2 linked regions of the Oryctolagus cuniculus genome follow. Each later gene encodes a partner of the first gene's protein in a complex. Links are inferred from orthologs where the notes say so. Each region holds a gene or a part of one and is shown on either strand. Other genes may lie near its edges.

Region 1 (3,748 bases):
GCTGGCCATGGTGAGGTGGCCCGAGTTGGCGTCGATGGCGAACACGCCGCCCTGGTTTCCTGGGAGGGTGAGCAGGTGGTCAGCCTCACATCCTGGCTGGGCCCAGGTGGGGATGGGGCTGGGGACAGGGCCTCACTCACCCCCCAGCAGGCTGTAGATGATGGGCTGGCCAATGGCCGAGTCTCCGTCCTCAGCGTAGATGGGTCCAGGGCGTAGGGTGAGGGGACCTGGCTGTGGGGACGGCCAGGGGAGGGGACACTGTGGGACGGGTGTGGTGGCCAGCCGGGGCCGCGGCGGGGCCCAGTTGGCCAATGGCCACATGTCCCTGCCAGGCCCGAGTCTCAGGGACATCTGAATGCTGGGTCAGCAGGAATGTTCACAGGGAAGTTGGACTCCTGCCTCCCGTGCACTGCCCAGCCAGGGCCCACTGCCCCCTGGTGGCTGGGGAGGGAGTTGCTCGGCAGTGCCCAACAGGGCCCAGGGCCCAGTGCCCACGGCTGGATGTCACCAAAGCTGGGAGGACCCAAGCCCGCCCTGACCCCGCCCGGGCCGGCGGCAGCACCCCGTTACCAGCGTGTGCCCCGTGGGGACTGCCCCCTGGTACTGGGCCTGGATGCAGACGTGGCCATCTGAGTAGCTGCAGGGCAGGAACCAGGGTGGCCGCAGGTCAGCGGGCAGCACCTTCAGGATCAGGGTGGCCGTGGCCGTGTGGCTGGGCAGCTCGTTCTCCTGCTGGGTGTCCTGCAGTAGCCACTGGTCAGGCGGGCAGCAGCCTCACTGGGGCCCCAGTGTCCAGTGTCCAGCACCCGGGGCTGGTGGGGCCTGCTCACCCGCACCAGCAGCCGGAAGGTCATTTCTGACCACCTGTCGAAGTCCAGGGTCCGGTCCAGCCTTAGGGCAGGGTGGTTTGCGCCCGCCAGGGAGAAGAAGTGCCCAGCACCCTGAAGAGAGGGGGACGTGACCTGAGAGGCTGGGGGGTGGGCACAGGCTGGTGTCTGCCGGGGGCCGGGGCAGCACGGACCGGGGTCACTTCCTGGAGTGTGTAGAACAAGGTGTCGCTCTCGTCGAGGTCCTTGGCTTCCAGTTCTGTCTCGGGGATGACTGTGGAGTTCACTTTCGTATCCTGGGCATGGACAGGGGTGGGCTGGGGTGGGCCACACTGGAGACCCCAGGGGCAAGCCCCTGGCCCAGCCCCCAGCCCCCAGGGCCGGCCCCGAGGCGCCACCGGGCTAACCTCCTCCACACCCTTCTGCAGGGTGTCGAAGGGGAACGTGGGGAGGTTGTCGTTGACGTCCAGCACGGTCACGAACACTCGCAGCCTCGTCACCTGCAGGGCGTGGCCGGCGTCTCCCTGAGGGTCCCCGGGGTGCCCAGCCCGCTCCCCCCTTCCCTCACTCTTGGGGCCAGGGCGCTGTGAACCCCTGTGGGGTCCCGGCCCTGGGTGTGGCCGGCATCCCAGCCGCCACCGAGGAGGGGGCTGAGGTGGGCCGGGGTAAAGGGAGCAAGCAGGCCAGTCGGAAGTTCCAGACATATTGGTGGCTGAGGCCAGGGTATGGGTGCCGGGGCGCCGGGCCGCGGGTCTCGGGTGTGGCCGGGGAAGCGTGCCCTGGGTGAGCTCATCCCTGCACTCTAGCGTGGGAGGGGCTGGGAGGGGCGGACTCACCACCGTGGTCCCTCTCCTGCACTCCAGGTCGGCCTCCAGGAAGGTCACGGCCTGCGGAGGCAGGGGGACGTGGGGAGGCGCCTGCCCAGTGCCCAGCACACGGTCCCCGCTGCACAGGCCGGCCGCCCAGGCAGGAGGATGGCTGCCGGCCACAGCCCCCAAGCCCGGGGCCGACGCCAGATCAGCCACTGCCTGGCAGAACTGTGCCCGGGAGGGGATGGGGGGGGAGGGCCGCTCCCACCTCGTAGTCTGGACTCGCGCTGAGAAACAGCTGAGTCCCCTGGATCCGGAATGAGGCGGCGGTGGTCGAGGGGCCGAGGGCCACCTGCAGGCCATCGGGGACGTAGATGTCAACCAGGGGCTTCGCCACGTCCGAGTTCTCCTTCACCTCGAAGAGGGTCTGGTTGATGGAGCAGACTGCAGCGGACAGCACGGGTCAGCACCCAGCCCCGCCCCCACCCCGCCCCCGCCCCCGCCCCTGCCCGGCACCTGCCCTGTGTCTGCGCCTCAGCCCCCCAGGGCTGGCCCGGCAGCCCCAGGAGCAGCAGCAGCAGGGGAGGCCACCGCAGGGGCCAGGTCCCCGTCCTGGTGGCTGTCATCCGGCCGGCTGGCGTCTGGCGTCTGTCCGTCCCCCTGCCGTCCTGGACTGCTGCAGTTCCTGCCTCGCACGACCTTTGCCCCTGGCAGGCACCGCCCTGCTTTATGGCTTCACGGCTGGCCTCTGCCAGGGGGGATCCCGCCGGCCGGCTGGGCACGGGCTGGCCGCAGCCAGGAGGGGGACGCCAGGTGGTCACTTGCCCCCCCACTCCACCCCAGGGTCACCTGGGGCTCAACCCACAGACGCCAAAGCACGAGGTGTGAGCTGCTGGGGCTACGGCCTGGGGCACCGTGATGGGGGCTGCAAGGCCCACGGCAAGGCGGGGGTCCAGGGTTCCCTTCCAGGCCCACCTCCCCTCCCTCGCCGTCTAAATCCCACAGGAACCGACTGTGTCCCAGGCACCCCTGCAGGGCTCTGAGGGTCCTGATCTCTTCCTGGGACCCCCACACCTCCAGCGGCCAGGGAGAGGCCAGGAAGGAGGGAGGAGCTCAGGGACGGGGTCCATCCCTGGCCTGCGGTGGGACCCCGCCCAGCATGGACGCCATGGCCAGCCCGGCAGTCACGGGGTGCTGCTCCCGGAATCCTGGGCCACCACCCCGTCTCCCCCCACCCCTCTTCTCCCCCACATCCCTACTGCAAGGCCCGGGGAGGGGCACACCCTGGGGAGTTCAGAGGATGGACAGCAGGTGGCCCAGTGGCTCCCAGGGATAAAGGGCAGCTGGGCGTGGTCCGAGCTCTGGGGCCCTGCTCCCACACGGCAGCCACGGATCAGGGGTCCCAGTTCCTCCTTTATTAGTGCGAGGACAACCCCCCCCCGCCTGCCCCCTGCAGGACCCCCTCCTTCTCCGTGGTCAACATCAGGGCATCCAAGGCGCTGCTTCAGTCTCGGTGCTGGCCAGCTCCAAAACCAAGACCCCAGCCCCGGGCCCAGGAGGCAGCAGGGTTGACCAGGCGGGGCCCAGGGGTGGCCCGAGGAGCCTCCTGCGGAGACAGGCACCTTGGGGGCTGCGGCCTGGGAGCTGGAGACTCCCCGTAACCCCACCCCCACACACAGGGTCCCAGGGGACAGGAGCTGGCAGGAGCAGGGCGCTCACCAGGCCTGCAGGTGGGCAGTGGGACCACTTCGGGCAGGGCCTGGACCAGGAGGCTGGGCCGGGCTTGGAGTCCTGCTGGCTGCACAGACACACACAACCAGTCAGAGCGCAGGTGGCCGGCCGTCCCAGGCCGGGTCTCCCCCGCGCCGGTCGCGCCCTCACCTGCCCACGCTCACCTGCGCTTGCCCAGGAGGCCCTGCAGCAGGCGCTGTAGGCGCGCGCGGTCCCGCAAGCGGCTGAGCTCGCTAGTCAGGGTCCCGTCCGAGTGGCGCGGGGCCCGGGGCGGGGGACGGCGCGCGCGGCCGGGGGTAGGGGCGCCGCGCAGCCTGGGGAGCTGGCCCAGCGCGGGCGCGGGCGCGGGCGCGGGCGCGGGCGCGGGCGCGGCGGGGCCCG
Region 2 (3,748 bases), on another chromosome or scaffold:
AGTGCTCAGTGGTGGGGGAAACTTCTCTTCCATCTTCAGCGCTTCGAATCCCAGCTGAATTGCTCGCCCCTTAGGAAAGCTTTTCCTACACCCTGAGTAGGATGAATGCCTGAGTTATTTCATGCCTTCTCATTTCCATTTCTATAAGACCTGTCATGTCTTCTACTCTCAGATGTGATCACCATCACAGAAATTGTATCTCTCTTACTGATGACAGCATGCCCAGTGGCTAGCAAAATGACTGGCATGTAACAGATACAAAATGAATAGGTATTGAATTTAGTTGGCTTCTTCATTTACATTTTATTTTTCCCCTTTCTTTACTCATCTTGGGTTGTAGTTGCTAATACTGCCTAGCTCCTCTGGTCACAGGCAGAAAAAGCAGAGAAAAGGAGCTAGCAAAACTGCTGTTTTAAAGTTCGGAGTGGGGGTAGTGTGTGTGTGCTGTGGCTGACAGAGCCAGCAACTCTCTTCAGCAATCATGAGCTTGCACTGGGATTGAATATTAACAAAAAGCTGTGGGATTTTAAAGGCATTTATGAAAATTTATAATAAAAATATGCCTTTTATTCCAATCAAGGTTGACAACTCAAAACCAAGTAGAACCATGATCTCTATTTAAATTTCATGGAAAAGACTTGAGAGGCATGGAATTAATTTATCTTCCCTGCACCCAAGGCAGGTAACAACACCTTAGAGTTTAGTGTCTCTCCTATACTTGTGCTAAGGAATGAGCCACTCTCATGGCACCAGTTCTCACTGTAAAACTAGTGCCTCCCTGGGCAGATTTTTCTGCCTTTCTCTAAAAATTCAATTATTTAGAAAGTCTAGAAAGAGAACAAAGTGTTTGCACTGACTTCTTTGTCTCCTGCTGCCGACTACAAAATCCTGCTATCAGGCTGGCGCCAGGGCTCACTAGGCTAATCCTCCGCCTGCAGCGCCAGTACCCCAGGTTCTAGTCCCAGTTGGGGCGCCAATTCTGTCCCGGTTGCTCCTCTTCCAGTCCAGCTCTCTGCTGTGGCCTGAGAGTGCAGTGGAGGTGGCCCAAGTGCTTGTGCTTGGTCCCTGCATCCTCATGGGAGACCAGGAGGAAGTACCTGGCTCCTGGCTTTGGATCAGCGTAGCACACCGGCTGTAGCGGCCATTTCGGGGGTGAACCAACAGAAGGAAGACCTTTCTCTCTGTCTCTCTCTCTCTCTCATTGTCTAACTCTGCCAGTCAAAAAAAAAAAATCCTGTTATCAGCACTGTTTCCCACAGAAGACATTATGTTGAACTTACCCTCTGCTGCAGATAATTTCCAGGGCTTCCAAGTTCCCATGGTAGGCTGCCAGGAGAGTGGGAGTCATGCCATCTTCATCAGAGAGATTCAGATCTCGCTTGGTAGCCTCTTTCAGAAGTTCCAGGTAGCTATCACTGGCAGCTTGGTGGTAACGAGTGGACATTTTCCCTCCTCACCAAAGGTTGGCCAGATGTCTCTCCCCAGGCACAGTAAATGTTGGCAGGATAGCCTGCCTGTACTGCTGGTTAATCAGTGACAAGAATGAGTATCACAGGGCAAAGCTCATTCCAGCATCAATCCATGGAAGGGAGCCAGAAAGGCTCATGACACTGAACTTGGACCTTTCTTTCTGGAATGGCCATGACATTGAATATTATAGCCTGCTGTGTTCATCTTGAGTGTTTTGAGGCACATTTAATTTTTGCTATGTCCATTTGCAAGTATTGAATGTGATACTGCACATGTAGGCACCAAACGAAGAAAATAATTTCAAAAATATTCAGAACTAGTTTAGTTCAACTGGGGAAATCTTTTTTAAAAAAATTATTTCCACTTAATTTGAAGGCAGAGTGAGAGGGACAAACAGTAAGCAATCTTCTCTTTACTGGTTTACTCCCTACGTGCCCACAACAGCCAAGGCTGGGCCAGGGCAAAGTCAGGACCCAGAACTCAATCTGGGTCTCCCATATGGGAGGCAGGGGCCCAAGTACTTGAGGCAATACCTGCTGCTTGCTAGAGTGCAAATTAGCAGGAAACTGGATGGGAAGTAGAGGAGCTGGACCTTGAACCAGGCAGCATCATAACTGTGGCACCAAATGCCCGCCTTGTATTGCTGGCATTGTGCTATGGCAGGCTATGGTGGCACCCCATATCAGAGTACCTGTTCAAGTCCTAGCTACTGTGCTTCTGATCCAGCTCCCTGCTAATGCACCTATGAAAGATGTGGAAGATGGCCCAAGTGCTTTGCCCTCACTAGCCATGTGGAAGACACAGCTAGAGTTCCAGGCTCGGTCCTTGTCCTTGTGGTCATTTAGGAAGTGAATCAGTGGTTGGTTAGAAGTTTCACTTTTGGCTGGCACCATGGCTCAATAGGCTAATCCTCTGCCTGCGGCGCCGGGCACACCAGGTACTAGTTCCAGTCAGGGCGCCGGATTCTGTCCCGGTTGCCCCTCTTCAAGTCCAGCTCTCTGCTATGGCCCAGGAGTGCAGTGGAGGATGGCCCAAGTCCTTGGGCCCTGCACCCGCATGGGACACCAGGAGAAGCACCTGGCTCCTGGTTTTGGATCAGTGTGGTGCACCAGCCGCAGCACGCCAGCTGCAGCGGCCATTGGAGGGTGAACCAATGGTAAAGGAAGACCTTTCTCTCTGTCTCTCTCTCTCTCACTGTCCACTCTGCCTGTCAAAAAAAAAAAAAAAAAAAAAAGAAGTTTCACTTTCACTTTCTCTCTCCCCCGCCCCGCCCCATAAGGAACACAAAATTAAACAACTTTACCATAATATTAACAAAAATTAACAGGAGACTATGATACTCCTGTCATATATACCTAATAGCAGCCCTCAGATAGGAAAAAAATTAGAATTTACAAAAAGTAAAAAACTCATAATCATAGTGGAATATTTTAATATACTCTCTTAATATTATATCAGACTAAAAATTAGTAAAGATTTAAAGATTGGAGCACAAGTAACAAACTTGAATGATCATATATAGACAGTTCCACCCAATAGAAAATGCATGTTCTTTTCAACCACATAAAGAATATGAGTATTTATAAAAACTGACCACCAAATAGAATCAGCGCAGGTCCAACAGATATCAAATAAAAGAGTTCATGAAGACAATGTTCTCTGAAGACGGTGCAATAGAATCAGAAAGCATCCCCTTCCATGACTGGATCAACCATACACGAACACATATATTCCTTATTGTGTAATTTTTACTTTATTTCTTTTTAAAAATTATTTATTAACTGTGAGACAGTGAAAGAGAAAGCTCATCTGCTGATTCATTGCCCAAAGGCCTGCAGTGGCTGGGGTTTGGGCTGGGGCACAAGCCAAGAGGCAGGAGCTCCATCCAGGTCCCATACACAGGTACCAGGAACCCAACTACCTGAGCCATCACTGCTACCTCCCAAGAACTTCACTGGCAGGAAGCTGGGGTCAGGAGCCGGAGCCAGAAACAGAACCCAGCAACTCTGATGTGGGATATGGGCATCTTAACCTCCAAGCAACCAACCATTTTGCATTATCTTTCTGTCTGCTTGATCCACCATAAATGTTTTCCCATATTATTACAAAATTGATGTGTGAAGATCTGTTTTTGAAGTCTGTAACAGTTTATTCCTCATATCTTTTTTTTTGTCCAACTTAATTATTGCCAAGTCTTTATTTCAAAATGAATTATTTGTCCATTCTGAAAAAGTACCAAACTTTCATCCAGTTTCTTCACAATATTAATTGGCTTCAA

Evidence for each region. The genes of interacting proteins can lie anywhere in the genome.
Region 2: CDHR5 (region 1) and ANKS4B share a complex: the UniProt entries of both Homo sapiens proteins name them as parts of the IMAC/intermicrovillar adhesion complex. The link is inferred for Oryctolagus cuniculus from reciprocal best matches to the Homo sapiens genes CDHR5 and ANKS4B.

The regions. Positions count from the first base shown.
Region 1 is NC_091432.1:251,254-255,001, forward strand, and holds the start of CDHR5 (cadherin-related family member 5), read right to left. Parts: upstream 2,338-3,748; 5' UTR 2,263-2,337; coding exon 2,157-2,262; intron 2,081-2,156; coding exon 1,905-2,080; intron 1,715-1,904; coding exon 1,664-1,714; intron 1,328-1,663; coding exon 1,235-1,327; intron 1,124-1,234; coding exon 1,022-1,123; intron 942-1,021; coding exon 831-941; intron 742-830; coding exon 571-741; intron 232-570; coding exon 141-231; intron 60-140; coding exon 1-59. Other genes in the region: SCT (secretin), read right to left, coding at 3,141-3,242, 3,356-3,434, 3,532-3,748. UniProt on the Homo sapiens protein: Intermicrovillar adhesion molecule that forms, via its extracellular domain, calcium-dependent heterophilic complexes with CDHR2 on adjacent microvilli. Thereby, controls the packing of microvilli at the apical membrane of epithelial cells.
Region 2 is NC_091450.1:17,993,953-17,997,700, forward strand, and holds the start of ANKS4B (ankyrin repeat and SAM domain-containing protein 4B), read right to left. Parts: upstream 2,673-3,748; 5' UTR 1,445-2,672; coding exon 1,281-1,444; intron 1-1,280. UniProt on the Homo sapiens protein: As part of the intermicrovillar adhesion complex/IMAC plays a role in epithelial brush border differentiation, controlling microvilli organization and length. Plays a role in assembly of the complex.